Anolis sagrei: one gene and its partners. The protein of the gene in region 2 purifies or fractionates together with the protein of the main gene of each other region. This does not show direct contact. Links are inferred from orthologs where the notes say so. Each region holds a gene or a part of one and is shown on either strand. Other genes may lie near its edges.

Region 1 (7,715 bases), on a different chromosome or scaffold from region 2:
CGACCCTTACCAAGCAGAGCTTTGTAGACTTCCAGGAGAAAAGAAGGAGTTCAGGTTGCTGTGATGGCTGGCTGAAGTCCCTCAGCAGAGGAGCTGTAAGGCTGTATGATCCTCGGCCAAGCTGTGGGGCTGTATAACCCCGGCCAAGCTGTAGGCTGTATATCTCCCCGGCCAAGCCGTAGAAGACTAAGCTTTCTACAGGAGCTCTTGGTTTTATGTCCTGTGTGAAAGGCTTCTCTGTGTGGACTGACTAAAATGGTTCCTCTCTCTTCCCAAAAATCCAGAAAAAGGGGCGGAACCAAAGCTAAATGAAGATGGACAGGGGGCTTGCCCTATGACTGCAAACTATAACAGGAAGCCACCCTGCTGCAAAATCCCAAGCCTGGGATTGCAAACAAACATTTAATTCAAAGCAAATAAAATTGGAGCTCCTGGAACAGCTGTTCCAGAACACCCATTGTAATGTTGTTTTTAACTAGTGTAATCTATATAAATAAAAATACAGTTAGTTTGTAGGATTAACATAACTCAAAAACCACTGGATGAATGAGTGAGGCCAATGAGTGAGCATTGCTCATAAAAACACTGAAAAACACAGCAGAAGGGACTTAAAGAGCCAAAAAAGCAAAAAGATGCTACAGTGCATGTGCAAAAACAACTCCCTTGGCAAACAAAACACACAATAGTATATCCACACTCTCTTCCATACTACAGCTCCCAGTATCACCTAGACCAGGCCCTTTAGGAGAGGAGGATGATCCAAATGCACTGCTTCCTAGATGTAAGCTTGCTTCTTGGATTTCTTTGAGAGCATCCCAATCCTTGCATATTTCCAATTTCCTATTCCTGGACTGCAACTCCCAGCAATCCTCCAGATAGATAGGAAAGGTTCTCAACCTTCCTAATGCCATGACCCTTTAATATAGTTCCTCATGTTGTGGTGACCCCCAGCCATAAAATTATTTTTGTTGCTACTTCATAAATGTGATTTTGCTACTGTTATGAATCGTAATGTAAATATCACATATGCAGGATGTATTTTATTCACTAGACCAAATTTGGCACAAATACCCAATATGCCCAAATTTGAATGCTGGTGGGGTTGGGGAGGGATTGGTTTTGTTATTTGAGAGTTGTAGTTGCTGGAATTTATAGTTCATCTACAATCAAAGAGCATTCTGAATTCTACCAACAATGGCATTGAACCAAACTTGGCACACAGAACTCCCATGACCAACAGAAAATACTGGAAGGGTTTGGTGGACGTTGACCTTGTGTTTTGGAGTTGTAGTTCACCTACACCCAGAGAGCACTGGAGACTCAAACAATGATGGATCTGGACCAAACTTGGCACAAATACTCAATATGCCCAAATGTGAACCCTGGTGGAGTTTGTGGAAAATAGATCTTGACATTTGGGAGTTGTCATTGCTGGGATTTATAGTTCACCTACAATCAAAGAGCGTTCTGAACCCCACCAACGACAGAATTGGGCCAAACTTCCCACAGAGAACTCCCATGACCAACAGAAAATACTGTGTTTTCCTGGTGGTCTTTGGCGACCCCTCTGACGCCCCCTCGCGACCCACCCAAGGGTCCTGACCCCCAGGTTGAGAAACGCTGGATTAGATAGAGATAAGTAGGTAGGTAGGTAAGTAGGTAGGTAGGTAGATGGATCAGGAGGACTGCTGGGAGTTGCAGTCCAGGAATAGGTAGAAAAGGAAGAAAGGGGAGAAAGGGGAAGGAAAAGAAAAGGGAGGGAAAGGAAGGGAAGAGAAGGAAGAAAGGAGAGAAGGAAAGAATAAAAGGGAAGGAGGGAAGGTTGTATTCAGTATTATTACATTCTGTGTTTTTCTTTACATTTGTATTTTTTGTGTCTCAGTTTTGGGAGAAAGAAATGACATAAATCAAGCCCAATCAAATAAAAAATAAATAAATCAGAACATGTGATTGTTAGCCCACAAAAAGCCATTTTTGTTTTACAAAATCTGTTAAATAAACGTAGAAATAATGAGAGAGCCTGCAGGTTAATGGGAGTAAACAAGGCTGGGAAATCTGATACAAGACGTACCTCCGTTCCACTCCCACGACTCATAATCCATTATGAAAAAGATGCCAAACTTGATAGAAGGATGAATGTGTAGATGAATATAACATGTCTGATTTCACTGGGGTTATTCCCGTTCCTCAACTGAAGGACCGCAAGCACTTGAGGAAAATCAACATTAAATTCCGACTAGATTTGAGGTTTTGGGAAGCCATAGGAAATGTTGATTTCAAAGTGCACTTTCTAGTTGCTTTCACCTAAAGTTATATAATGACGACTGATCTTGTATATATTTTAGAAAGAAGTTTACAGGACACAAGGCTCCTGGCATAATAACTCTCAATGCTTTGCTATTACAATTCAGGCTGCAAATTTGGGGTGTTATGAAAGAGGCATTTGTACTTCCAGAGACGGGGAGATCCTGGGATTTTCCGCCTCCCCTTTGAAACCACCTCAATTTTAGTTCTCTGCACCATGAATTAGAGCAGTATTTCTCAACCTGGAGGTCACAAGGGGGTTTCAGAGGGGTAGCCAAAGGCCATCAGAAAACATATACTTCTGATGGTCTTAGGAACCCCTTTGGCAGAGGAGGCTGAAGATCTCTCCACTTGCCCTTCTCTTCCTTTTTGGAAACAGACCGTGAATCCTCCCATCAGCTGGCCTCTCAGCCAAGGGGAGGGCTGTTTCTGAAACTCTGAGCAGGGAGAAGAGAGCAGGTGTGCTCGGCACATAGCACCATAGTAAACATGTGTAGGCGAGGGAGAGCACGTGAGGCTGGAAGGCAGGCTCGCACCAGCAAGTCCCTTCAAGACATGGGGGTTCTGTGTGGGAAATTTGGCCCAATTCTATCGTTGGCCATCTGTCGGGGATGCTTTGAATGCGATTTTCCTGATTCTTGGCTGAATGGGGTTGGACTGGATGGCCCACGAAATGTCTTCCAACTCTAGGATTCTATGAGTTGAAGTCCAAAACATCTGGAGAGAAGAGCCAAATTTGCCCACCCCTGCTTTAAAGGAAGGCCTGCTTTAATATTTCATTTCAATGGGTAACTTCCTGACTGTGATAGCTGTTCAGCAGTGGAACTCTGCCCCGGAGTGTGGTGGAGGCTCCTTCTTTGGAGGCTTTGAAACAGAGGCTGGATGGCCATCTGTCGGGGGTGGTTTGAATGCAATTTCCCTCCTTCTTGGCAGAATGGGGTTGGACTGGATGGCTCACGAGGTCCCTTCCAACTCTAGGATTCTAACTTCTGGACTGTGAGAGCTGTTCAGCTGTGGAACTCTCCGTCCTGGAGTGTGGTGGCGGCTCCTTCTTTGGAGGCTTTTAAACAGAGGCTGGACGGCCATCTGTCGGGGGTGCTTTGAATGCGATTTTCCTGCTTCTTGGCCAAATGGGGTTGGACTGGATGGCCCACGAGGTCTTTTCCAACTGGAGCAATGGCTTCCAACTACAAGAAAGGAGATTCCATCTGAACATGAGGAAGAACTTCCTGACTGTTAGAGCTGTTCAGCAGTGGAACTCTCTGCCCCGGAGTGTGGTGGAAGCTCCTTCTTTGGAGGCTTTTAAGCAGAGGCTGGATGGCCATCTGTCAGGGGTGCTTTGAATGAGAGTTTCCTGCTTCTTGGCAGAATGGGGTTGGACTGGATGGCTCACGAGGTCTTTTACAACTGGAGCAATGGCTTCAAACTACAAGAAAGGAGATTCCATCTGAACATGAGGAAGAACTTCCTGACTGTGAGAGCTGTTCAACAGTGGAACTCTCTGCCCCGGAGTGTGGTGGAGGCTCCTTTTTTGGAGGCTTTTAAACAGAGGCTAGATGGCCATCTGTCGGGTGTGGTTTGAATGCGATTTTCCTGCTTCTTGGCCAAATGAGGTTGGACTTGATCGCCCACGAAGTCTCTTCCAATTCTATGATTCTAACTGACTGTGAGAGCTGTTCAGCAGTGGAACTCTCTGCCTCAGTGTGGTGGAGGAGCCTTCTTTGGAGCTGTTAAGCAGAGGCTGAATGGCCATCTGTCAGGGGGGATTTGAATGCGATTTTCCTTCTTCTTGGCAGAATGGGGTTGAACTGGATGGCCCACCAGGTGTCTTCCAATTCTATGATTCTAACTGACTGCGAGAGCTGTTCAGAAGTGGAACTCTCTGCCTCAGAGTGTGGTGGAGGCTCCTTCTTTGGAGGCTGTTAAGCAGAGGCTGGATGGCCATCTGTCAGGGGGGATTTGAATGCGATTTCCTGCTTCTTGGCCAAATGGGGAGTGTGGTGGAGGCTCCTTCTTTGGAGGCTGTTAAGCAGAGGTTGGATGGCCATCTGTCAGGGGCGATTTGAATGTAATTTTCCTTCTTCTTGGCAGAATGGGGTTGGACTGGATGGCCTCTTCCCTGAGGTCTCTTCCAACTCTAGGGTTCTATGAGTTGAGTCCAAAACACCCGTTTGAAAGGAAGGCCTGCTGTAATATTTCCTTTCAACTGGTAGGAATTGTGGGAGTTGGAGGCCTTTTGAGGCCTGAGGAGGCGCCAAAATGGCGTCCTTGTGTTTTGGACTTCATCTCCCAGAAGCCCTAGTGCTGGAACGACGCGGCTGAGGCTCATGGGGGTTGTAGGCAGAATAAGGAGGAGGAGGAGGCGGGGAAGAAGGGGGCGTGCCTGTCTCCCCGCTCTTCCTCCCAGAAGGCAGCGCGGCGCCTGGCTGGGCCTAGGAGGAGAAGGACGAAGAGAAGCCTCGGCATTTCCTGAGCGCGGCGTCGGCGAGGCCTGGCTCGGGATGCGAGTGTGAGATGCGTCTTCCACCGGCGGCGGCTCTCGGCTGGGCCCCCTCGGCGCCCTCCATGAAGCTCCGGAGCCGGCGCTTGGCCCTCCACAAACACTTCTATAGGACTCAGGCGCCTTGCTGAAGAGGAGACAGAGACAGAAGAGGAGCCCCTTGGAGTGGAGAGAAGCCGAGGACAACTGCGGGAAAAAGGGCCCAAAGGAGCCCCAGAGACAGGCCTCCCTCCTCTTCAGAGGGAGAAGGAGGAGGAGGAGGAGGCCATGGAGGGCCCCGGGAATCAGTGGGGCCGCGTGAGGGAGCAGCACGGCCAGGTAAAGAGGAGAAGGAGCGGGAAAAAGGCAGCGAGGAGAGGCAGGACCTTGTCAGTGGTGGCCCCTCGCTTGTGGAACTCCCCTCCCTAGCGACATCACAGCAGCCCCCCTCCCTAATTAAGAGGAGGAGAAGGAGCAGGAAAAAGGCAGGGAGGAGAGGCAGGGCCTTCTCTGTGGTGGCCCCTTGGTTGTGGAACTCCCCTCCCTAGCGACGTCACAGCAGCCCCCTCCCTAATTAAGAGGACGAGGAGGAGATGGAGCGGGGAAAAGGCAGGGAGGAGAGGCAGGGCCTTCTTTGTGTTGGCTCCTCGGTTGTGTAACTCCCTCCCTAGCGACGTCACAGAAGGCCCCTCCCAAATTAAGAGGACGAGGAGGAGAAGGAGCGGGAAAAAGGAAGGGAGGAAAGGTAGGGCCTTCTCAGTGGTGGCCCCTCGGTTGTGGAACTCCCCTTCCTAGCAACGTCACAGCAGGCCCCCCTCCCTAATTAGCCTTCAGGAAAAAGGAGGAGGAGAAGGAGCGGGAAAAATGCAGGGAGAAGAGGCAGGGCCTTCTCTGTGGTGGCCCCTCAGTTGTGGAACTCCCCTTCCTAGCGACGTCACAGCAGCCCCCTCCCTAATTAAGAGGACGAGGAGAAGGAGGAGCGGGAAAAAGGCAGGGAGGAGAGGCAGGGCCTTCTCAGTGGTGGCCCCTCGGTTGTGGAACTCGAGGAGGAGAAAGAGCGGGGAAAAGGCAGGGAGGAGAGGCAGGGCCTTCTTTGTGTTGGCTCCTCGGTTGTGGAACTCCCTCCCTAGCGACGTCACAGCAGCCCCCTCCCTAATTAAGAGGACGAGGAGGAGAAGGAGCGGGGAAAAGGCAGGGAGGAGAGGCAGGGCCTTCTTTGTGTTGGCTCCTCGGTTGTGGAACTCCCTCCCTAGCGACGTCATAGCAGCCCCCTCCCTATTGAAGAGATCGAGGAGGAGAAGGAGCAGAAAAAAGGCAGGGAGGAGAGGCAGGGCCTTCTCAGTGGTGGCCCCTCGGTTGTGGAACTCCCTAGCGACGTCACAGCAGCCCCCCTCCCTAAATAAGAGGACGAGGAGGAGGACATGTTTCATTGCACTATCTATATAAATAAAAATGCAATGTTCATTTATGGGATTAACATAACTCAAAAACCACTGGACGAATTGACACCAAATTTGGACACAAAACACCTCTCAGGCCAACAAGTGACCATCACTCATAAAAACACTGAAAAACACAGGGGAATAGACTCAAAATGCTAAAAATTAAAGAAAATGCATACCAGCGCATGCACAAAACCACATTTATACACATATACACACACATATACACAGACTGGGCTACAGCAACGCCTGGCAGGGGATGGCTAGTGTATATATATGTGTGTGCGTGTGTGCATATGTAGATGTGTATCTATGTGTATATATTTGTGTGTTTATATGTGTATATGTATACTGTGTATATGTGTGTGCTTGTCTATATGCATAATTGTGTGTATTTATGCGTGTATGTATGTGCATACATGTGTATATGTATATATATATGTGTGTGTATGTATATGTATGTGTGTGTATATTTGTGTGTGCTTGGGTGTATATATATATATATATATATATATACACACACACAAATATACACGTGTGTGTATGTATGTGTGTATGCGTATAGGATTGTATGTATATATGGTGTATTTTGGGGGGTTTAAGTCCATTCTACTGGGAAGGGGGTGTTTTTAGGGGTGATGAACACTCGTTGGACTGTTAGGTATATTTTGTCAAAATTTTGTGTCAAGTCGTCCAGTGGTTTCTGAGTTATGTTAATCCCACAAACTAACATTACATTTTTATTTATATAGCTTAAAATAATAATAATAATAATAATAATAATAATAGTAAATTTTATTTATACCCCGCCACCATCTCCCCCAAAGGGGACTTGGGGCAGCTTCCATGAGGCCAAGCCCGATAATACATAACAGCAAAATGAATACAAAACAAAAATATCATCACAATAAAATAAGTAAAACATAAGAGTAAAATAAAACAGTGCAAAATAAGAAGATGAAAAATCAAACACAATAGGCGGGCCAAATGTAAGACATAAAATGATAAAACACTGGATGAGATAAGAGTGGAAAAAGGTATATATGTAAGGGAGGAGCTAATAATCATAATAGGAGCTAATAATAATAATAATATTACCAACAGCTGCATAAGACCACCATACTGGGATCTGCACACATTATTCGCCGATACATCACACAGTCCTAGACACTTGCGGAGTGTTCGACTTGTGATTCTATACAACAGCCAGCAGAGTGAGCTTGTTTGTTGTGGACTCATCTTGTTGTGCTTCTAATAATAATAATAATAATACATTATTTATACCCTGCCACCATCTCCCCGGAAGGGACCCGGGGCGGCTGACATGAGGCCAAGCCCAAAGATACAATACAGCAAAATAAAATACAAAACAACAAAAATTACATCAGAATAAAATACATACAGTAGCACAATAAAATAAATGAAGCCAAATAACATAATGGAAAATCAAACACAATGGGCGGGCCAAATGCACAAGATAAAATGATAAA
Region 2 (7,498 bases):
ATTATCCATACACTCCCAATTTTACAGTTGCTACTGAAAAATCACTCCAACGAATAGATCCATTGTGTGAAGAATTTCATCAACTTCTGCTTGTTTCTAAACCTTTAATGAAACTCTTGCCAAGTGTAGATTTCTCCTCACGTTTTTTAACATATTTGTTATTCAACAAGTGATATTATTATCCTAATAGGAATAGGCATGTTTCATCCATACTTCACCAATTATTTTACAAGTCCTCTTCTCTCAGTTTTAAATACTGGTCTCTCAACTAATTAGATATGGTTAGGAATATTGAAAAACTATTACAATCTTATAACAATTGTATATTATATATTACATGTAATATTACTAATAAAATTGCAGTATAGTGGCATAGTACAATACAGTACTATATAGTACTAATATTGCAGTGTGCTAATAATATATATATAATATTGTAATACTAATATATTAAATATAATTACTACTGATAATATATAATATATGTTAGAAACAGTATCATACGAAAGCTGACTGGCACAACCTGGGGATCACAACCAGATACAGTGAAGACATCTATCCCTGTGCTATGCTACTCTACTGCTGAGTATGCATGCACAGTGTGAAACACATCTCACCATGCTAAAACAGTAGATGTGGCTCTTAATGAGACATGCCACATTATCATCGCGTGTTTGCGCCCTACACCACTGGAGAAACTACACTGTTTAGCCGATATTGCACCACCTGACATCTGCCAGGAAGTAGTAACCAATAGTGAAAGGACCAAAGCAGTGACATCTCCGGCCCACCCCGTTTGGGTATCAGCTAGCATGCCAACGACTTAAATCAAGAAATAGTTTTCTAAGATCTACAGAGACACTCGCTGGAACACCTCAGCAAGCGAGAGTCCAAAAGTGGCAGGCTCAAACTCAGAACCTCAATCAATGGCTGATACCAAATGAGAGACTCTCTCCTGGGCACACAGAAAACCGGGCACCTTGGAAGGCACTGAACAGACTGCGCTCTGGCACCATGAGATGCAGAGCCAACCTTAAGAAATGGGGCTACAAAGTTAAATCCATGACATGCGAGTGTGGAGAAGAGCAAACCACAGGCCACCTACTCCCATGCAACCTGCGCCCTGCTACATGCACAATGGAGGACCTTCTTGCAGCAACACCAGAGGCACTCCAATTGGCCAGCTAGTGGTCAAATGACATTTAATAGAATACCAAGTCTGTGTTTTTTTGTTTTTTAATGCAATACACCTGTTTTGGTTCGCTCTTGACACGATAAATAAATAAATATACTGTTTAATTATAGTATATTTATAGTATATTTTAAATTGTAATGTTTTTGATTCTAAGCTGGGATAAAAATAAATAAATAATCCATGTTTTTAAAGTAACATTTCTAGGACACCACATTAATTCAATTTCTAGCCTCATATGCTGCACTGGTATCTTCTCTCACTAATTTTGCACCTTGCTTTTCTTTGTCCCCTTTTCTCCTGACTTCATCTCTCACTCTGGGAGCCTCAAAAGAAAGTGACTCCAACCCTCTTTTCAAACTCACAACAAAACTTGGGTCACAACTTAGACCAGCAACCATTTCCCATCTCTCAGCACATGTTTTAATTTACTCCACGAGACAACTGAATCGCCTGTTGCCAGATTTTATCCTAACCATTACCTTTAACTCCTGTATCCTTTGGGCCCATCAGTTGCATGGCCCAGATTTGTTCAGGCTGTGTTCAAAGAAACATCTCATACTCTCCAGTATAAAGATTTGATAGTGTATTTAATAGAAAATGAGAGTGCTCTGTAAAACCCCAAGGGTTTTCTTCAGATGGAGAACAAACTATCTCCACATGAAGGGGTCCTTCTCCCAGGGCCCTTCCATACAGCCATATAACCCAGAATATAAAGGCAGAAAATCCTACACTATCTGCTTTCTTTAAATACCAATATGTACATATATGTGTACACACATATATATGTGTGTGTGTATGACTGATATATGAGATAGCCTAAAGTCACAAAGGGGGATTTCATATACATTATATATAAGAAATAAGTTCATGTTATGTGTGAAAAAAAAGTAAATGGTGTCCAATATCATATCATATCATTTTAAATACAATTAAAAACATAACATATAATAAAATCTAAACATATAAAAGTAATATTAAAACCTAACATCAGTACATTATACCTGACATCAACAAATTACACTATATGTAGTAGGCAAAAATCTAAAATAACATAAATCTAAACAAAATATCCACATTAGTTTTGTGAGCCCAGCAAGCAAGGGTTCACAAAACCCAACCAGCAAGGGTTCACGAAACGGTGTGGGTTGGTTATATAGTCAGATGAGGTCACTGGGCTGGTGTGGACCAAAAAAAAGCCGAAATACAAATAGTACTCAACCAGAGGCCCGGCAATGATCTCTCGACCATCTAATCCTCCTTCCCCGGAATATTTTCCCTTGGAATATTTTCAAACTGGGCGGGTGTGGGGTTTGAACCCGTGGATGCCGGATCCGTGCAGCCTGTCGATATGAATAAGAGAACCCGGCCCATCTCCCGCCCCGGCGTCCTCAGGAGACGCCTGCTGCCCTCATGCCTTCCCTCCTTCCTTCCTGGCCCAGCCATTGCTCTGCCAACCCCTCCTCACTCACTCACATGGCAAACGGTGTTAACAGCAGCGGCGGCGGCGTGAGTCTTCTCCGCTCTGTCCTCCGTCTCCCTCCAGAGAGCTAGTCCGGGGAAGCCTTCTTCTCCCAAGGGCGCAGGGCTGAAGGTCCCTCGGCAAGGGCGAGAAAGCGCGGGCGAGGGCAACGGCGCCTCCTTCCTTCCTTCCTTGCCTCCTTCCTTCTCTCCCTCTCCAGGCTCAAAAGCCGAGTGAGGCCTGCTACCCACAAAGCACCGCGCGCTCACCCGCCCGCGCGCGCGCTCTCCCTGGCTCCCTCGCGCTCCTTCTCCAACGACGGCTCCCCAGAAGCTGGTGACGCAGCAAAACGCCCACCCCTCCCTCTTCCCTTCTCCCTTCCTTCCTCCCTCTTTCTCTCTCTCCCTCCCACTGGAGCCCGTCCGACTATGGACGCTGACAAGGGCGCATGCGCACCACTCGCCACCTCCTTGCCGCTTCGCCCTCCTCAACGGCGCGCACCTACCACAAACGGCCGGATGTTTCGTTCTCGCGCATGCGCTCCCTCGTCCTCTGCCTTGCGCACGCGCAATTCCATCTTTCGAGCACGTTCTCTCGAGGCGCCTCCGCCCGTTGGGCCGGGCCGGCTCGCACCCCCGGCGCATGCGTAGTTGCACTTTTCGCGCATGTTCTCCCTCTCTCTAGGCTTGCCAAGCTTCCAAGCACACTCCGGCGCATGCGCCGTAGAAGAAGACGAGCCTGTTCTTGATATTTGCCTCCCCCCACCCTATAAATTGTCAACCAGGTGAGAAAATTAATTCTGCTGGTGAAGTTGAATATTCATAATCATTTATGTCTGATGCTTTGTGTGCATTCAAACAATCAAGTGCATATTCAAAGCCACTGTGTGCACTACTGGGTTGTGTCTTTTCCGGGCTGTAGGCCATATACCAGAAGCATTCTCCCCTGACGTTTCGCCTGCATCTATGGCAGGCATCCTCAGAGGTTGTCACAATATGGGCATATAGCCCAGGAAACACAACAACCCAGTGATTCCGGCCATGAAAACCTTCTAGAACAGTGGTTCTCAACCTACCTAATGTCGCGACCCCTTAATACAGTTCATTATGTTGTGGTGACCCCCAACCATAACATTATTTTCGTTGCTACCCCATAACTGTAATTTTGCTACTGTTATGAATCGTAATGTAAATATCTGATATGCAGGATGGATTTTCATTCACTGGACCAAATTTGGCACAAATGCCTGATACGCCCAAATTTGAATACTGGTGGGGTTGGAGGAGATTAATGTTATCATTTGGGAGTTGTAGTTCCTGGGGTTTATAGTTCGCCTACAATCAGAGAGCTTTCTGAACACCAACAATGGAATTCTATCAGACCTGGCCATACAGAAATACCATGACCAACAGTAAATGCTAGAACGGCTTGATGGGCATTGACCTTGAGTTTGGGAGCTATAGTTCACCTAAATCCAGAGTGCACCCTGGACTCAAACAATGATCAATCTGGACCAAACTTGGCACGAACACTCAATATGTCCAAATGTGGACTCTGGTGGAGTTTGGGGAAAATAGACCTTGACATTTGGGAGTTGTAGTTCCTGGGATTTATAGTTCACCTACAATCAAAGAGCATTCTGAAGCCTACCAAACGATAGAATTAGGTCAAACTTCCCACACAAAACCCCCATGACCAACCATAATACTGTGTTTTCTGATGGTCTTTGGTGACCCCTCTGACACCACCTCGTGACCCCCCCAGGGGTCCCGACCCCCAGGTTGAGAAACACTGTTCTAGAAGACATTGTGTGCACTATGTTGATTTGCTGCAGAAAAAAGGAAGAAAATTGTGTTTGATCCATTGAGTGACCCACACAAAAACTCAGAAGTGAAATAAAGCAGAATTGTTTTTAAAATAGCATAAAATATACATTATTGAGTAGATAGAGATACAGTTAGAGACATGGACCTAACAACATGCTTCAGATCATGAGTTTTTCTCCAAGGACATTTTCATTTAGTCCTTATTGGTGCTTCACAATGTACCAGTATATTGTTAGATGCAGTAGTCAATATTCTAGGTGTGTCTGCTAAAGCCGGCAGTCAGTCTGTCTGTTTCCAAAGGTATTATAAAAACAGTTCCAATCTCACCACAGAATTATTCATGAACACTGTTCCCAACACAAGACCGGGATTCAAGCCAGAGAATACATTACAAACTGGAGGGAGAAAGAATAAGGAAAGTAAAACAGATAGATGAAATGTTTTTTAAAACCTGATTATCCAGCATGTTGACATTTCTGAGGGATAACCATATCCCTACTTTGTTAGCTGGCCCTGATTGTTTCATTCGTGTTTGGGTGCTGCATTTGGGGGTCCTTATGTAGACTTGTCCACAACTGCATGGTATACAGTAGACATTTGCAGTTACAGAAAGGAGGAAACTATGAAAATGAACAAAATGTGGCTACCAGTATTAAAAAACTTTAAAATCAGAACAATACATTCAGAGGAACACTAAAAAAAGGGGAATTTCAGACAGAAAACCAGGGCCAGATAACCCCTCCCAACAAAGGATTCCCCAGACAGGAAGCAGACAGGCTTTGAAGCTGCAAGGTCATTAAATACAGATCAAGGTGGCCAGTTGCAACATTCACACCTGCCTCAAGCAGACGAGAGCTCTTTCTCCAATCCTGGACATTCCACAGATATAGATACCTCACTTGCCTAGTTTCCAATGTACCTCACAACCTCTGAGGATACCTGCCATGGATGTGGATGAAAGATCAGGAGATAATGGTTCTGGAACATGGCCATACATCCCAGAAAACTCACAGCAACCCAGTGATTCCGGCCACAAAAGCCTTCAACAACACAATAATCACCTCTCAGGGTCTCAAAATCAGACTCAACAAGGAGAGTCCGGAGCCCTGGCGAGACAAGTGAAGCACCCCAGATTTTTCCCTAATTTTTCCCAAGTAAAGTCTCACCAAGTTGAAGAAAAGCCACCGAGTTGTATTTATTTTGTCCCAGCTGGTACAGATGTCAAACCGCAATCTCTTGCCAAAGTCGACATGTTTGGGAAGGGAGAAAAGGGTACATTTTATAGAAAATACAGAGTTGTCAGATTCAAACTTCCCGCCCCCTGCCCCTCTGCTGGCTTCGCGCTGATTGGCTGGAGTCATCAGCTGGAGGGAGGTGCGGCCGGCTTAGGCACGCCTCAGCCAATGGAGAAGCCAGCACTGCTTCAGCTCCTGAGCCAATGGAAGTCGAGGAGGCGATACAAGCAGGAAAACAATTAACCGAGAGGAAAATGAGTGGATTAAATGGAACTTAATGGTTTGTCCGATGGCCGGCAATAATCCGGACACTCCTCAAGATGGCCTGGTATTGTCCAGTAGTGTTGAAATATACAAAAGTGGCTGGCACAGCTGCCCAACCTTGATAATCTTCAGTTAAGGATATGGGATCAATTGATGATATCTGTGTGTGGATTTCAGCCGAGGGTGCAAAACAATGAGTGAGTCGGATGGGACATCCTGATCTTCCCTGAAGGCAAAATGTCCCATTGTTGACAAGTGACCAGGTTCACCATGGGGTGCCTTCCTGGGCGGTCATGCTCCGAGACCCAGGATGCACCATTGTTATTGCCATGCAATAAATCTTTGTTGGAGTCCTTAAGTCAATGGGGAATTCATCTCAGGAAATAGGAATTTCCCAAGGGTTTGCCATGCTGGGGTCACGAAAAAGTGGCTTTCCATATTTTTATACATAGACACATATATGGGGTTCATACAGCATGCACAGGGGAAAAGGGGGAAAAGGAAATTAATATAGAGAGTCATAGAGAGTCCAATATCATGAAGTTCATAGAGAGTCCAATATCATGAAATCATATAGTCCCTAAGTCATAAAAGGGAGTCCATGGGGCTTGGGGAAAGAGTTCCAGAAAGTTTCCAAAATGTTTTAAAAGTTGATAAAAGTTGTAAAATCCACAGGAGGCAAGTTGGAAAAGGTGCCCCAGAGTCAGAGTTCTTATGAGGTGACTGCCAGCACTGGAGATCAAGATCCACGGAGAGAACTACAGATCCTTCCTCACCAAGGACCAAGGCGGCCTGCTGATATCTTGGGTATCCTATGGGGTGACCGCGACAGTTTTCCAGGATCGGCAGGCTCACTGGGCATCCATAAAATGGTGGCAACGAGGCAGTATCTTCAGGGAAACAGCTGGGCTCCAGTTTGAGGTTTTGGAGGCAAAAATTGTTATTCCCGGGGCGGAAGGCTTAGTGGAGCGAAACTGAGATAGCCATTAATCTTAGAATTCCCCCGGAGAAGAATGGCACTGATTTTGAAGCGATCCGTTGACTCACGGATACAGGGGCCCAATGGGTTTACGTATCTACCGTTCAGAGGAACGCAGTTTTGGCCTCCCCAGGACGTGAAAATTGCATCCTGGGCAGGCTGGCAGCCATCTGCAGCCTGGGAGAGGAAAGATTTATACTGAGACGAGTTTGGAGGCAGTAAAAGACACAAAGTAACACTATTGAGAGAGAAAAAAATACAATTAATTGGTACTTTATTGGGGGGATTAGTTACAGTGTTAGGAAGGGGAAGAAAATGAAGTAATAAGAAGGCTTCTGGGTTGGAGCTGCTGCTGTGGCCACATTCATGGAGGCTGGCCCAAGTGGGACAATAGAGAACTGAGGAACTCCCTGCTGCAGGTCAGATCAGCTTGAAAGCAGGGAATTCTAGGTTTGACCTCAGTTTGTTGTAACATGCCCTTTGCAAGCCCATTATTTCCAAGCAGGCAAAAATTATAAATAAATAAATAGGGGTTATCAA
Region 3 (7,623 bases), on a different chromosome or scaffold from region 2:
CTACCCCTTGGAAGGGAAAATCACTCTTGGAAGAGTTATCCTGGGGAAAAGGAGTCTCAATTGAAGCTTTATCACCAATCCCTGTTTCAACAACAAACCAATTTTTCAATAATAATAATACTTTATTTGTATACTGCCCAAAGCTTATAGACCAGGCATGGGCAAACTTCGCCCCTCCCTCCAGGTGTTTTGGACTCCAACTCCCACCATTCCTCACAGCCTCAGGCCCTCACAGCCTCAGGAAGGGGCCTGAGGCTGTGAGGAATGGTAGGAGTTGGAGTCCAAAACTCCTGGAGGGCTCATGTTTGCCCAAGCCTTGTCTAGACAGACATACAGACAGACTGGAGTTACACTTACAAATGTAAATAAATCCGACTTACATACAAATTCAACTTAAGAACAAACCTACAGGACCTATCTTATCCGTAACTTGGGGACTACCTGTATGACATCAAGAAGTGTTATACATTGACCCACAAACTACAAAAGATGTATTTCCCAAGGCTTTAATGGCCAGAATCACCGGGTTTCTGTGAGTTTTCCAGGCTGTATGGCCATGTTCCAGAAGCATACTTTCCTGACGTTTTGCCTGCATCTATAGCAGGCATCCTCAGAGGTTGTGAGGTCTGCTTGGGAAGCCCACGGAGTTAGCTGACGGCGGGTTTGAATGGGGAAAACAAAACGCCTCTTTTCCCTCCAATAAACAAACCAACCAACCTCTGGTTGCTATCTTTTCAATTTCCTGACAATATGAAGAAGGGGGGGGGGGGGGGGAGAGAGAAAGTAATATGAGATCTGAAATTCCCTCAAAAGGAGGGGAGAAAAGCCTGTTATTCTCCACCTCCTCCTTACATAATGAAGATGAGGCACCAAGAGGAGAGAGAGAGGAAGAGAGAGGACGGCTCATCACAACATCATTAACTTTGGGTTTTTGTGAGTTTTCCGGGCTGTGTGGCCATGTCCCAGAAGCATTCTCTCCTCACGTTTCGCCTGCATCTATGACAGGCATCCTCAGAGGTTGTGAGGTTTGTTGGAAACTAGGAAAATGGGGTTTAAATATCCGTGGAAGGTCCAAGGTGGGAGAAAGAACTCTTGTCTGTTAGAGGGAGATGTGAATGTTTCAATTAGAATAATACAAGTTGGAAGAGAGCACATGGGCCATCTAGGAGGGCGACTAAAATGATCAAGGGTCTGGAGAACAAGCCCTATGAGGAGCGGCTTAAAGAGCCAGGCATGTTTAGCCTGCAGAAGAGAAGACCAAGAGAAGACATGATAGCCATGTATAAATATGTGAGACTAATTCATAGGGAGGAGGGAGCAAGCTTGTTTTCTGCTGCCCTGGAGACTAGGATGCGGAACAATGGCTTCAAACTACAAGAAAGGAGATTCCACCTGAACATTATGAAGAACTTCCTGGCTGTGAGAGCTGTTCAGCAGTGGAACTCTCTGCCCTGGAGTGTGGTAGAAGCTCCTTCTTTGGAAGCTTTTAAACAGAAGCTGGGTGGCCATCTGTTGGGGGTGCTCTGAATGCAATTTTCCTGCTTCTTGGCAGGGTGTTGGACTGGATGGTCCACGAGGTCTCTTCCAACTCTATAATTCTATTATTCAATCCACTTTTTCCAACCCTGACAGATGGTCATCCAGCCTCTGTTTAAAAGCCTCCAATGAAGGAGCGTCCACTACACTCCAAGGCAAAGAGTTCCACTATTGAACAGCTCATACCGCCAGAATGTTCTTCCTAATGTTCAGGTGGAATCTCCTCTGCTGTAATTTGAACCCATTACTCCGAGTCCTAGTTTCCAGGGCAGAAGATAGGAAGCCTACTCCCTCTTCCTTATGGCACTCTTTCACATATTTATACATGGCTACTATCTCCTCTCAGCCTTCTCTTCTGCAGGCTAAACATTCCCTAGCTCTTCAAGACACTCCTCATAGGGATTCATAGTCTCCAGGCCTTTGATCATTGGCCACCTTGATTAACATTGAATGGCCTAGCAGTTTCAAGTTCTGGCTTCTTACTGCCTGAGAGAAAAGTCAGGAGCCCCTGGTGGTACAGTGCCGGCAGGACTGAAGACCGACAGGTCACAGGTTCGAATCCGGGGAGAGCGCGGATGAGCTCCCTCTGTCAGCTCTGGCTTCCCATGCAGGGACATGAGAGAAGCCTCCCACAAAGGATGGTCAAGCATCAAAACATCCTGGCATCACCTGGGCAATGTCCTTGCAGGCGGCCAATTCTCTCACACCAGAAGCGACTTGCAGTTTCTCAAGTCACCAAAACAAGAGAGAGAAACGACAGAAGAGAATGCTTCTGGAATATGGCCATACAGCCTGGAAAACTCACAACAAGCTTCGACAAGACATCATTAACTTTTCCCTCCGTGGTAAACGTGGAGTTTGTACAATGGGAAGAACAGAAAACACACGGAGTACAGAACACAACAACACATGCAAAGCAGGAAGGGGAAGAAGCAGAGATGGATCTGGGTTGTAGAAGTTTTCCGGACTGTCTGGCTATGCTCCAGAAGCATTCTCTCCTGACGTTTCGCCTGCATCTATGGCAGGCATCCTCCGAGAGGTTGTGAGGTCTCAGGAGCGAACATGGCCATACAGCCCGAAAAACTTACAGCAACCCAGCGATTCCGGCCATGAAAGCCTTCGACAATGCAGAGATGGATCTATTATCCCAAGCGTAGTATGGTATCACATTTCCCCCTCCAGTTCCAGCCTTGCTCCCCCTTTCCTCAGCCTACGAGCAGCGTCTCCTCCTCACTCACAGCGATAGCAATGCTTCCCTACGACGCCTCTTGGAAGAGTTATGGATGGGCTGATACCGCGAGGGGGGAAGGCGCTCTCTGGGCACAAGGTGGGCCCCCTCCCCTTGGGAACCAGCGCGCCTCTTCCTCTCCACGGAGCCGGGAAGGCAGCCAATGGCCCACGGGTACCTGCTCCTCGCCCCGCCGCTCCTCCTCCTCCCTCTGTGGCTCCTGCCGAGAATGACACCCGCTACCGGCGCTGGCCGCCAGTCCCCCCCGGGTGAAGCCCCGCCTCGCGCTCCCATTGGCCCCCGCCCCTGTCCGTCCGGGTACCGCTTCCCCGCCATTGGCCGCTTCTCCTTTTGTGTGTGTTTGTGTGAAAACATGGCACCGCCTTCCTTTTTTCACAACCCGCTGCCTGAGGGAAGGGGTCCCAACTTGTCTCTGGAGTGGGATAGAACTCGCGTGTCACTTACTCGGTGCAAAATGAAGACACGTGTCCTCTCCCCTGCGCCTCACATCCTTTATAACACTGTGGAAAGCATTCTGGTGTCAAACTGCCTCCATTCTACAGTGTAGATGCAGCCTCAGTCTGCATCCATCCGTGTTGACTTTATTATACTCCTTTGCAGTTACTTGCCCTGGCTCAGTGCTATGAGCTGTAGTTTTACAAGGTCCTCAGCCTTCTCTACAGGTGCCCGACCAATCTATAACTCCCAGTATTCCATAGCACTCAGTAATGTATCAAAGTGTGCTAATTCTACAGTGCAGATGCCACCTCAATCTGCATAATCCATGTTGACTTTATTGTACTGTTATGCAGTTAATTGCCCTGGCTCAGTGCTATGAGCTGTAGTTTTACATGGTCTTCAGCTTTCTCTACTGGTGCCTCACCAAACTACAAATCCAAGCAGGCATGTAGCCAGGGGGAGGGGGGCTTGAGGGGCTTCAGCCCCCCCCCCCCCCCCGAAATTCTCATGGTGGTTCACGAAAAGGCCTTACTGGTGCATTATTTAAACTGTTATGTTTATTCATATCACGATCTGATCACCATGCTCAATATATCCCATATGCATGGGGGTATTGGGGTAATGATGCAAAAGGTTTGCTAGGTTAGACCCTCTTTCACTCAGACTCAGCCCCCCCCCAAACTCAGCCCCCCCTGAAACCCCCCCTGAAAAAAATTCAGCCCCCCCCCCAAACGAAATCCTGGCTACGGGCCTGACTCCAAGTATTCCATAGCACTCAATAAAGTGATTTCAAAGAGTGTTAATTCTACAGTGTAGATGCCACCTCAATCTGCATAATCCATGTTGACTTTATTATACAGTTATGCAGTTAATTACCCTGGCTCAGTGCTATGAGTTGTAGTTTTACAAGGTCTTCATCTTTCTCTACTAGTGCCTCACCAAACTACAACTCCCAGTATTCCATAGCACTCAGTAAAGTGGTTTCAAAGTGTATTGGTTCTACAGTGTAGATGGCTCAGTGCTATGAGTTGTAGTTTTACAAGGTCTTTAGGCTTTCTCTACTGGTGTCTCACCAAACACCCAGTATTCCATAGCACTCAGCCATGTGGTATCAAAGTGTGTTAACTCTACAGTGTAGATGTCACATCAATCTGCAGCCATCCATGTTGACTTTATTATACTGTTATGCAGTTAATTGCCCTAGCTCAATTCTCTGAATTGTAGTTTTACAAGGTCTTTAGCCTTCTCTACTGGTGCCTGTCCAAACTACAAATCCCAGTATTCCATAGCACTCATTGATGTGGTGTCAAAGTGCATTAATTTTACTGCAGAGATGCCACCTCAATCTGCATCTGTGGCATTAAACTGTCTTAATTCCACAGAGCCTCTCTTCTCCTAACCCGAATGACTGACCATTCAGATTGTATGCAGTAAATTGCCATGACACAATACTATGAGTTGTAGTTTAACAAGGTTTTACAAGGTTTTTAGCCTTATCTACTGGTGCCTGTCCAAACTACAGCTCCCAGTATTCCATAGCACTCAGTAAAGTGGTGTCAAAGTGCACTAATTCTACAGTGCCTCTCTTCTCCTAACCTGACCATTCAGACTGTATGCAGTTAATTGCCATGACTCAATACTATGAGTTGTAGTTTAACAAGGTGTTACAAGATTTTAAAACTTCTCTACTGATGCCTCACCATACTACAACTTCCAGTATTCCATAGCACTCAGTAAAGTGGTGTTGAAGTGCATTAATTCTACAGTGTAGATCAGGCATGGGCAAACTTCAGCTCTCCAGGTCTTTTGGATTTCAACTCCCACAATTCCTAACAACTGGTAGGTTGCTAGGAATTGTGGGAGTTGAAGTCCAAAACACCTGAATGGCTGAAGTTTGCCCATGCCTGGTGTAGATGCTCCATGAGAATCATCCTGTTTTCTAGTCAGTATGGATGGAAGCAGACTGAGGGTGCATCTACATTGTAGAATTAGTACACTTTGGTACCACTTTACTGAGTGCTATGGAATACTGGAATGTGTAGTTAGATCAGGCACCAGTACAGAAGCCTAAAGATCTTGTAAAACTACAACTCAGAGCACTGAGCCATGGCAATTTACTGCATACAGTATAATAAAGTCAACGTGGATGGGTGCATCTACACTATGGAATTAATGCACTTTGATACCACTTTACTAAGTGCCATGGAATACTGGGAGGTGTAGTTAGATCAGGCACCTGCTGAGAAGCCTTGTAAAACTACAATTCGCAGCACTGAGCCAATGTAATTAATTGCATAACAGTATAAAAAATCAACATGAATGAATACAAACTGAGGGTGCATCTACGCTGTGGAATTAACACACTTTGATACCACTTTACTGAGAGCTATAGAATACTGGGAGTTGTAATTAGATCAGGCACCCATTGAGAAGCCTAAAGACCTTGTAAAACTACAACTCATAGTACTGAGCCATGACAATTAATTGCAAACTAACAGTATAATAAAGTCAACATGGATGGATGCAGACTGAGGGTGCATCTACACTGTGGAATTAACACACTTTGATAGCACTTTACTGAGTGCCATGGAATACTGGGAGTTGTACTTAGATCAGGCACCCGTTGAGAAGCCTAAAGACCTTGTAAAACTACAACTCACAGCACTGAGCCATGGCAATTAACTGCATACTAACGGTATGATAAAGTCAACATTGATGGATGCGGACTGAAGTTGCATCTACACTGTGGAATTAACACACTTTGAAACCACTTTACTGAGTGCTGTGGAATATTGGGAGTTTGGTGAGGCACCAGTAGAAAAGCCTAAAGACCTTGTAAAACTACAACTCATAGCATTGAGCCTTGGCAAATAACTGCATACAGTATAATAAAGTCAACATGGATGGATGCAGACTGAGGGTGCATCTACACTGTGGAATGAATGCAGTTTGTCACCACTATCATTGCTATGGCTCAATGCTATGGAATCATGGCGGGGGCAAGAGTAGTGAGACCTCACCAAACTACAGCTCCCAGGATTCCATGGCAGTTAAAGTGGTGTCAAACTGTTGAACTTCCACAGTGTAGATGAAAACGTGCTCTTCGTGTGGCTGGGTTCATGGGCTGTGTTTTTGTCCCACCTTTCTCCGGATGGGTACAAGGGCCCGAGGGCTCCCTCCCTCTCTTTCTCGGCGTGGATTGCGCCCCGAGTGTTTATGTTTTCTTTGTTTTTCCGGGAAGGTCCGCCGTGTGTTACGAAACCTTGATCTTTTTCTCTCTCTCTCGGCCAAGACTCAGCCGCGCGGCTCCAGTGTTTACACGCACAAAGGCAGCAAAGCGAAGGGGAACCGGAGAGGGCATCTAGAGGGGCCCTTTCCCCCACGGAAAGGAATACTAAACCGTCATCCCTGAGGAAGCTGTGGTCGAAGAACCTAGAAAGGTGAGTAGGAGTCGTGGGTCTTGCCTTGGGGGCATCTACACCTTAGAATGAATGCTTATTATGCTCTCAGTGCCTCAATGGAATCATGGGAGTTGTCGTTTAGGGTGGCAACAGCATTTTTTGACAAGACTCAAGGGAGGCCTTGTAAAACTCCAAATCATTGAGCTCTTGCAGTTAAAAGGGATAGAATTACAACTCCCAGGATTCCATAGCATTGAGCCATGGCAGTGAGAGTGATGTCCATCTGCATTCATTCTAGATTCACCTAATACTTCATCACACTATGAATCCAGTTTAAATTCACTTTCTGCCTCCTGCAAAATTCTGGGGTTTGTAGTTTAGCGAGGCTGTTAAAGTATCCTCCCTAAACTACAAACCCCAGAATTCTGCAGGAGGCAGCAACTGGATTTAAATTAGATTCATTCTCTAGTGTGATGAGATCACAAATGCAGTATTTCTCAATCTTCCTAACCCTTTAATACAGTTCCTCGTGTTGTGGTGACCCCCAACCATAACATTATTTTTGTTGCTACTTCATAACTGTAATGTTGCTACTGTTATGAATGGTAATGTAAATATCTGATATGGAGGATGTATTTTCAAATTCACCGGACCAAATTGGGCACAAATACCCAATACGCCCAAATTTGAATACTGGTGGGATTGTGGGGACAGGACTGATTTTGTCATTTGGGAGTTTGTAGTTGCTGGGCTTATAGTTAACCTACAATCAAAGAACTTTCTGAACTCTAACAATGATGGAGTTGAACCAAACTTGGCAAACAGAATTCCCATGACCAACAGAAAACCCTTGAGTTTTGGGATTGATTTTGTCATTTGGGAGTTGCAGTTGCTGGGATTTATAGTTAACCTACAATCAAAGAGCATTCTAAACTCCGCCAACAATGAAATTGAACCAAGCTTAGTACACAGAACTCCCATGACCATCAGAAAATACTG
Region 4 (7,642 bases), on a different chromosome or scaffold from region 2:
GTGAAAATCAAAAACATTAGCTAGAAGTGGACTTGTAATAGCATTGGAAGACCTGGAAATTCCTACAGAGGACACCTCTCTTATGTTTCCCCTCATGACTAGAGTAACTTAATCATATAATTGAACTAAAGGACCTAGATTTTCTTAAAGAACATTTTAATGAAATCCATGACCAATCAAATATGCAAAAGTCAAAACCCTAAATGTACACACAGACAAACCCATACATATATACAGGGCAAACTGCTTTCATGCTTTACATTGTTTTTATTATAATATGTATATTTATGCTTGTTTTTCTCTGTTGTTGGCACTGTGCTGTGCTGGTTGTTAGCTGCCCTAAGTCCCCCTGCGGTGGTTGAGATAGGACAGGATATAAATGCCTTAAATAAAATAAATAAATAAATAAAATGTGCCCTAAAATGTATGCAACCTTGTTATTGAATATATTTCTGTGTGTATGTGTGTATATGTGTGTGTATGTATGCGTATGTGTGTGTGTAGATGTGTGTGTGTGCACAGACACATACCTATATACAGATTTATACACTTTGTTATTGTATAACTCCTATGTGTATATGTGAATGTATGTATATATATATATCTATGTATATATAGGATTGTGTACACTGGAATGTATACAACAAGGATGCATACCTTTTAGTGAACACCTTGTATTATGACAAGAGTCCAAAAATGTTGGCAGCTAGGATGACACACACATATACATACATATATACTTATACCTACATACCCACACAGGGCTAGCTGCCCATATTTCTGCACTTTTTGTCCTGTCCCTTTAATTTTTTCCCCCTTATACCACTTGCTTAATGTCAATCTGGTCTCCTTTCTGAGCGAGGAGCTGGACCCCATCTACACAGACCATTTAATTTAGTTTCAAACCAGTATTGAAGAAAGTGGTTTCGCTGTGCAAATGATTACACCAGAAATCCTGGAATCAGTTTGGGGCCCCAGATGGTGATGACATGAGCACCACCTATGCTGCCATATAATGCAGTTTGAAACTACCTTATATGGCCAGTGTAGACTCATAATACTGTTTAAATGGATTGAACCACACTGTGAGCCTACACTGACTACATAATGCAGTTTCAGGTTGGTGTAGATTCATATAATGCCATTTAAATGCACTGAACCACACTTTGAGCATACACTGACTACATAATACAGTTTCAGGTCAGTGTAGACTCATATAATAACATTTCACTGCATTGAATAGCACTGCGCGCCTACACCGACTTCATAAAGTAATTTCAGGTGAGTGTAGACTCATATAATGCAGTTGAACAGCATTATGAGCCAACACTGACTACATAATGCAGTTTCAGGTCGATATAGACTCATATAATGCCGTTTAACTGCATAGAACCGCACTGTGAGCCTGCACTGACCACATAATGCAGTTTCTGGTCAGTATAGACTCATGTAATGCCGTTTAACTGCATTGAACAGCACTGTGAGTCTACACCGATGACATAAAGTAGATTCAGATCAGTTTAGACTCATATAATGAAGTTGAACAGAGTTATGCGCCAATACTGACTACATAATTCAGTTTCAGGTTGGTGTAGACTCATATAATGCCATTCAACTGCATTGAACCACACTGTGAGCCTACGCTGACTAAATAATGGAGTTTCAGGTCAGTGTAGACTCATAAAATGCCGTTTATCTGCACTGAACCGCACTGTGCGCCTATGCTGACTAGACTACATAATACAATTTCAGGTTGGTGTAGACTTATAGAATGCCATTTAACTGCATTGAACGACACTGTGAACCTACGCTGACTACATAATACAATTTCAGGTTTGTGTGGACTCATATAATGCAGTTGAATAGCATTATGAGCCAACACTGACTACATAGCACAATTCCAGGTTGGTGTTGACTCATATAATGCCATTCAACTGCATTGTGAGCCTACACTAACTACATAATGCAGTTTCAAAACTCCATTACATGGCAGAGGAGATGGAACCGCAAACCATGAAGCACTGAAGCGTTTCATTTTGCACTCTTTTGTGGGTGTTTCTTGCTCTGTGGCCCCATCTACAATGGCATATAATGCAGTTGAACAGGACTGCATGAATCTAGGCTGCTATATCGTTCACCCAGACTCAGGGCCCTTCCACACAGCCCTATATCCCAGAATATCAAGGCAAGAAATCCCATATTATCTCAGTGTGGACTCAGGTAACCCAGTTCAAAGCAGATATTGTGGGACTTTCTGCCTTGATATTCTGGGTTATAGGCCTGTGTGGAAATCCCCTCAGGCACCATAGGAAGCAGCTTTGCACAGGAGTTCAGACAATGCGGTTTGCAGCTAGCTTCAAACTGCATTGAATGCATGGTCAGCACAGACGAGGTGGTGATAGTACAATAGCTGGGTCCGAAAGCGCCAAGTGTTATGGAGATGCCCCAATGGCGACTCTGAATAAGGGAAGAGAAGAGGCGGAGTGAGAGTAGGGAGAGCAAAGGATAAAAAGCGGGGGGTGCTTAGGGTAAGGGTTGGGGTAAGGTTTAGGGTTTGGGTTATGGTTAGGGTAAGGGGTTATGGTTTAGGGTAAGGTTTAGGGTTTGGGTTAGCATTCAGAGTAAGGATTTGGGTAAAGTTTAGGGTTTGGGTAAGAGTTTGGGTAAAGAGTTAGGCTTAGGTTTACAGTATGGTCCAGGGTGATAGTAAGATAGCTGGGTCTGGAAGCTCCGAGCATTACGGAGATGCCGCAAAGGCGGCTGTGAATAAGGGAAGAGAGGGGGCGGAGTGAGCATGGGGAGAGCGAAGGAAGGATAAAAAGGAGGGGGTGCTTAGGGTAAGGGTTAGGGCAAGGTTTAGGGTTTGGGTTACGGTACAGTTTAGGGTTTGGGTTAGGGTATGGTTTAGGGCAGGGGTCCTCAAACTAAGGCCCGGGGCCCCTCCAAGGTCATTTACCCGGCCCTCGCTCAGGGTCATCCTAAATTTGAAATGACTTGAAAGCACACAACAACAATCCAATCTAATCAGCCAAAAGCAGACCCACACTTCCCATTGAAATACTAATAAGTTTATATATGTTAAAATTGTTCCTCATTTTACTTTTTGTATTGTTTTTAAGTGGTTTTTGCACTACAAATAAGATAGGTGCAGTGTGCATGCGAATCCTTTTTTTTACTTCAAATTATAATCCGGCCCTCCAACAGTTTGAGGGACTGTGACCTGGCCTTCTGTTTACAAAGTTTGAAGACCCCTGGTTTAGGGTTTGGGTAAAGGGTTAGGCTTATGGTACAGTTCAGGGTTAGGATTAGTGTTATGGTAAGGGTTAGGGCAGGCCCGTAACCAGGATTTTGTTTCGGGGGGGCGGGGGGGGGGGGCTGAGTCTGAGTGAAAGAGGGTCTAGCCTAGCAAACCTTTTGTATCATTACCCCAATACCCCCATGCAAATGGGATATATTGAGTATGGTGGTCAGATCATGATATGAATAAACATAACAGTTTAAATAATGTACCAGTAAGAACGTTTCGCGAACCACCATGAGAATTTGGGGGGGGGGGGGGGGCTGAAGCCGGCTACCCTCAGGGGTCCCGACCACCAGGTTGAGAAACACTGGGTTAGGGCAAGATTTAGGGTTTGAGTTAGGGTTTTGGTTAGGGTAAGGTTTAGGGTTTGTGTAAGGGTTTGGGTAAAGGTTAGGGTATGGTTTTGGGTAAAGGCTTAGGCTTACGGTACGGTTCAGGGTTAGAGTAAGGGTTATGGTAAGGGTTAGGGTAAGGGCTTCACCGGGATTGTGGTGCAGCTGGCTGAGTGTCAGCTGCATTAAGATCACTCTGACCAAAAAAAGGTCATGAGTTCGAAGCCAGCCCGGGCTGGAGTGGGTGTCCAGCCATTGTGTAGCCCGTTGTCGACCTTTGCAACCCGGAAGACAGTTGCATCTGTCAAGTAGGAAAATAAGGTACCACCTTGTGTGGGAGGCTAAATTTAACTAATTTATGAGGCCATAAAGAAAAAAGACTCCGGGGAATGTGGAATGCGGAAGAACTTCATCGGTGTCGTTGATGGATGATGAAAAGCAGCAGCTCCCCTGGCGGCCAGAAAAAAGTTAAATAGCCTCAGTGTATTTGTGTGTTAAATGTTGTTTGTCAAACTGGCATTGAATGTTTGCCATATATGTGTTTACTGTAATCCGCCCTGAGTCCCCTGCGGGGTGAGAAGGGTGGAATATAAGAACTGTAAATAAACAAATAAATAAATAAATTAAAGAACTCCTTCATTCCTTCTATAGTATCTGTCTCCGGCCTGGCTTACATTAGCTAAGGCTCTCTTCCACAAACTGCGCTCCCGAAGGAGCGATGCGGCCTCTCCGTAACGCTCTGCACTTCCAGACCCAGCTATCATACTATTACCGACGAGGCCTACGCTTGACCTAGGCGGGGATGGAAACGCTGGGTCCTAGAGCGCGCATGTCTGCGGACGGGCTCTAGGACCCAGCGGGCTGGCGCGGCCCTCCTTCCCGTGGACGGCTGGCTGTGGTGCTGCTGCTGCTCCGCCTGCCCCTCTCGCTCTCTCTGCCCATGTATGTGCCTTGGGCTCTGGGGCCAGGCGCCGCTGCGGGTGACGGCGCGCCATTAATAGCAACGGGCCAGCCTCCTCCTCCTCCTCCTCTTTCTCTTCCTCGATCTCCTCCTCCTCCTCCTCGGCGGCACCGGCGCCATGCGCTCCTCCGAAAAGGAAGGCGAGGAGCTGGGTCTGGCGCGCTTCCAGAGCCCCGGCCGAGGCAGGGGTCTCCGAGCCCGGCGCCGCTTCGTCCCCGGGGAGCTGCTCTTCGCCTGCCCGGCCTTCACCTGCGTCCTCACCGTCAACGAGAGGGGCAACCACTGCGAGGGCTGCTTCGCCAGGTAAAGGCAAGGAAGGCGAGGAGAGGGAAGGAGCAGAGGCCGGCAGGAAGCCTCGGCCTGGGCGGCGTCAGCGCCCCAGGATTTCCCCCCGGGTCCTAGCGCCGGCATCCTCCATCTCAAGTGAAGGGCTGCTGCGGGATGAATGCGTCCTGGCTGACACTCTTCTTCCCTGCTCAATGCTCTTGGCACCCTGGCCAGTTATAGTTTGGCCTGGTAAAACTGCAACCCCCATAGCATTGAGCCCCATTGGTGTCAAGCTGCATTAACTCCCCAGCAGGCCTGCATAAACTGAAGCCCTTCCAGGTGTTTGGGGCGCCAATTCCCAAACACCCTTGTCCAATAGTGAGGAATTCTGGGAGCGGAAGTCCAGCAAAACACATGGAGGGCTACAAGTTGGGCAGGCCTGCTCTACAGTGTAGATCAGGCATGGGCAATATTCAGCTCTCCAGGTGTTTTTGGACTGCAACTCCCACAATTCCTAACAGCATAGGACAGTGGTTCTCAGGAGCCCCCAGTGGTGCAGTGGGTTAAACCCCTGTGCTGGCAGGACTGAAGGCCGACAGGTCGCAGGTTCGAATCCAGGGAGAGGCAGATGAGCTCCCTCTAACAGCTCCAGCTCTTCATGCAGGGACATGAGAGAAGCCTCCCACAAGGATGATAAAAACATCAAATCATCCAGGCGTCCCCTGGGCAATGTCCTTGCAGACGGCCAATTCTCTCACACCAGGAGTCACTCCTGACATGACCAAAAGTGGTTCTCAACCTGTGGGTGCCCAGGTGGTTTGGCCTACATCTCCCAGAAACCTCAACCAGTTCACAAGCTGTTAGGATTTCTGGGCGTTGAAGGCCAAAACATCTGGCAACCCACAGGTTGAAAACCATTGACCTACACTGTTAGGAATTGTGGGAGTTGAAGTGCAAAACACCTAGAGGACTGAAGTTTGCCCATGCCTGATGTGGAAGATGAATTCACCCTCTCAGCCACAGAAAACTCCATCATAGGGTTGTTCTGAGAGGAGGCACACAATAATATGAAGAACAACACACCCTATGCGGGGTTTGTAAGTGATTGTGTGAGTTCTGCTTCCATCCATTTCCTTTCTCCAACTTCTTTGCCATGTTTTGCATGCAGTTTCTTTGTGTTTTGAATCATCCAATGCGGAATTAAAACCCATCATAATCTTATCATTGATTATTTTCATCTATACACACAGAAACATGGATGAAGCAGGACATGGGTGCATCTACGCTGTAGAAATAATGCATTTTGACACCACTTTAAGTGCCATGGCATCATGCGACGGAATCCTGGGAGTTATAGTTTGGTGAGGCACCAGCAGACTTTGGCAGAGAAGAGTCAAGTCCTTGTAGAACTGTAACTCCATTGATTTCATAACATTGAGCCATAGCAGTTAAAGTGGTGTCAAACTGTGTTAATTCTACAGCGTAGATGCACCCATGTCCTGCTTCATCCATGTTTCTGTGTTGTTGGTTTTTTTTTCATGTCAGGAGCAACTTGAGAAACTGCAAGTTGCTTCTGGTGTGAGAGAACTGGAGACTGCAAGGACATTGCCCAGGGGACACCTGGATGTTTTGATGTTTTACCATCCTTGTGGGAGTTTCCCTCATGGGGAGCTGGAACTGACAGAGGGAGCTCATCTGCACCCTCCTGAATTCGAACCTCCAACCAGTCAGTCTTCAGTCCTGCCGGCACAAGGGTTTAACCCATGGCGCCACCAAGGGCTCCTTACAGTGCAGATGCACTCATGGTTGTTCGAGCTGGTTGTGTCTATTATTTGGGAATGTAGGAGAAAATGTGCACGGAAAACTGCAATTGAGTACTAAAGGCCTTAATATCTCAATAAGATTGTCCTTTCTTCCAGGTGTATATGTATGTGGCAGTGCAGGAGATAGTTTCAGCAACAAGATATTGCCATATTGTGAACTGTAAATACACTAAAAGCAACAAATTCTGTCTGATCTTGGTTCCTAAGCAGGATCAGCTCTGGTCACATCTTGAATGAGAAACTGATAATGAATATCAATGACTGCAATATCTCAGAAAAATAATACACAATCAGCCTGCTGTATCCATGGATTCGACCATCCATAGCTTTAAAATGGAAGCACCCCGTGGCGCAGTGGGTTAAACCGCTGAGCTGCTGAACTTGCTAACTGAAAGGTTGCAGGTTCAAATCCAGGGAGCAGCATGAGCCCCCGCTATTAGCCCCAGCTTCTGCCAAACTAGCAGTTCAAAAACATGCAAATGTGAGTAGATCAACAGGTACTGTTCTGACAGGAAGGTAACAGTGCTCCATGCAGTCCTGCCAACCACATGACTTTGAGCCAGTGTTGTCTACGGAAAACACTGGCTCGGAAACAGCTGGACTTAATGTCAGTGGAAAATCTTTATCTAGCTTGAAAAATATCTTCCCCCCCCCCCCCCCCCCCGGCAAATCCCAAAAGCAAATCTTGATTTTGTCTTTTTATATAAGGGACACTATTTTACTATGTCACTGTATAGTATGGGACTTGAGCATCCACAGATTTTGGTATCAACAGCAGGCCTGGAACCAAACCCTAATGACTCACAGTATTGTGAGTTGTGCATACTGCAAAGGCCCCAGATCCAGTCTCATCTAGGATGCTGAACAGGATCAGCACTGATTATCACTTGGATGGGAAACTACCAATGAATACCAGCTCAAAAAAGCATCTGTCTTCTTGTTTTCACCTTGTAGGTGG

What was found.
Region 1: the proteins of PTGES3 (region 2) and URI1 purify together in Homo sapiens (affinity purification with mass spectrometry; 3 studies listed by BioGRID and IntAct, with this or other methods). This does not show direct contact. The link is inferred for Anolis sagrei from reciprocal best matches to the Homo sapiens genes PTGES3 and URI1.
Region 3: the proteins of PTGES3 (region 2) and FKBP5 purify together in Homo sapiens (affinity purification with mass spectrometry; 4 studies listed by BioGRID and IntAct, with this or other methods). This does not show direct contact. The link is inferred for Anolis sagrei from reciprocal best matches to the Homo sapiens genes PTGES3 and FKBP5.
Region 4: the proteins of PTGES3 (region 2) and SMYD2 purify together in Homo sapiens (affinity purification with mass spectrometry; 3 studies listed by BioGRID and IntAct, with this or other methods). This does not show direct contact. The link is inferred for Anolis sagrei from reciprocal best matches to the Homo sapiens genes PTGES3 and SMYD2.

What each region holds. Positions count from the first base shown.
Region 1 is NC_090028.1:40,036,962-40,044,676, forward strand, and holds the start of URI1 (unconventional prefoldin RPB5 interactor 1), read left to right. Parts: upstream 1-4,714; 5' UTR 4,715-5,071; coding exon 5,072-5,122; intron 5,123-7,715. UniProt on the Homo sapiens protein: Involved in gene transcription regulation. Acts as a transcriptional repressor in concert with the corepressor UXT to regulate androgen receptor (AR) transcription.
Region 2 is NC_090022.1:137,197,313-137,204,810, reverse strand, and holds the start of PTGES3 (prostaglandin E synthase 3), read right to left. Parts: upstream 3,006-7,498; 5' UTR 2,671-3,005; coding exon 2,669-2,670; intron 1-2,668. UniProt on the Homo sapiens protein: Cytosolic prostaglandin synthase that catalyzes the oxidoreduction of prostaglandin endoperoxide H2 (PGH2) to prostaglandin E2 (PGE2).
Region 3 is NC_090024.1:186,143,890-186,151,512, forward strand, and holds the start of FKBP5 (peptidyl-prolyl cis-trans isomerase FKBP5), read right to left. Parts: upstream 3,009-7,623; 5' UTR 2,943-3,008; exon of another isoform or gene 2,775-2,942; intron 1-2,774. UniProt on the Homo sapiens protein: Immunophilin protein with PPIase and co-chaperone activities. Component of unligated steroid receptors heterocomplexes through interaction with heat-shock protein 90 (HSP90).
Region 4 is NC_090021.1:33,551,215-33,558,856, forward strand, and holds the start of SMYD2 (N-lysine methyltransferase SMYD2), read left to right. Parts: upstream 1-4,623; 5' UTR 4,624-4,712; coding exon 4,713-4,897; intron 4,898-7,642. UniProt on the Homo sapiens protein: Protein-lysine N-methyltransferase that methylates both histones and non-histone proteins, including p53/TP53 and RB1. Specifically trimethylates histone H3 'Lys-4' (H3K4me3) in vivo. The activity requires interaction with HSP90alpha.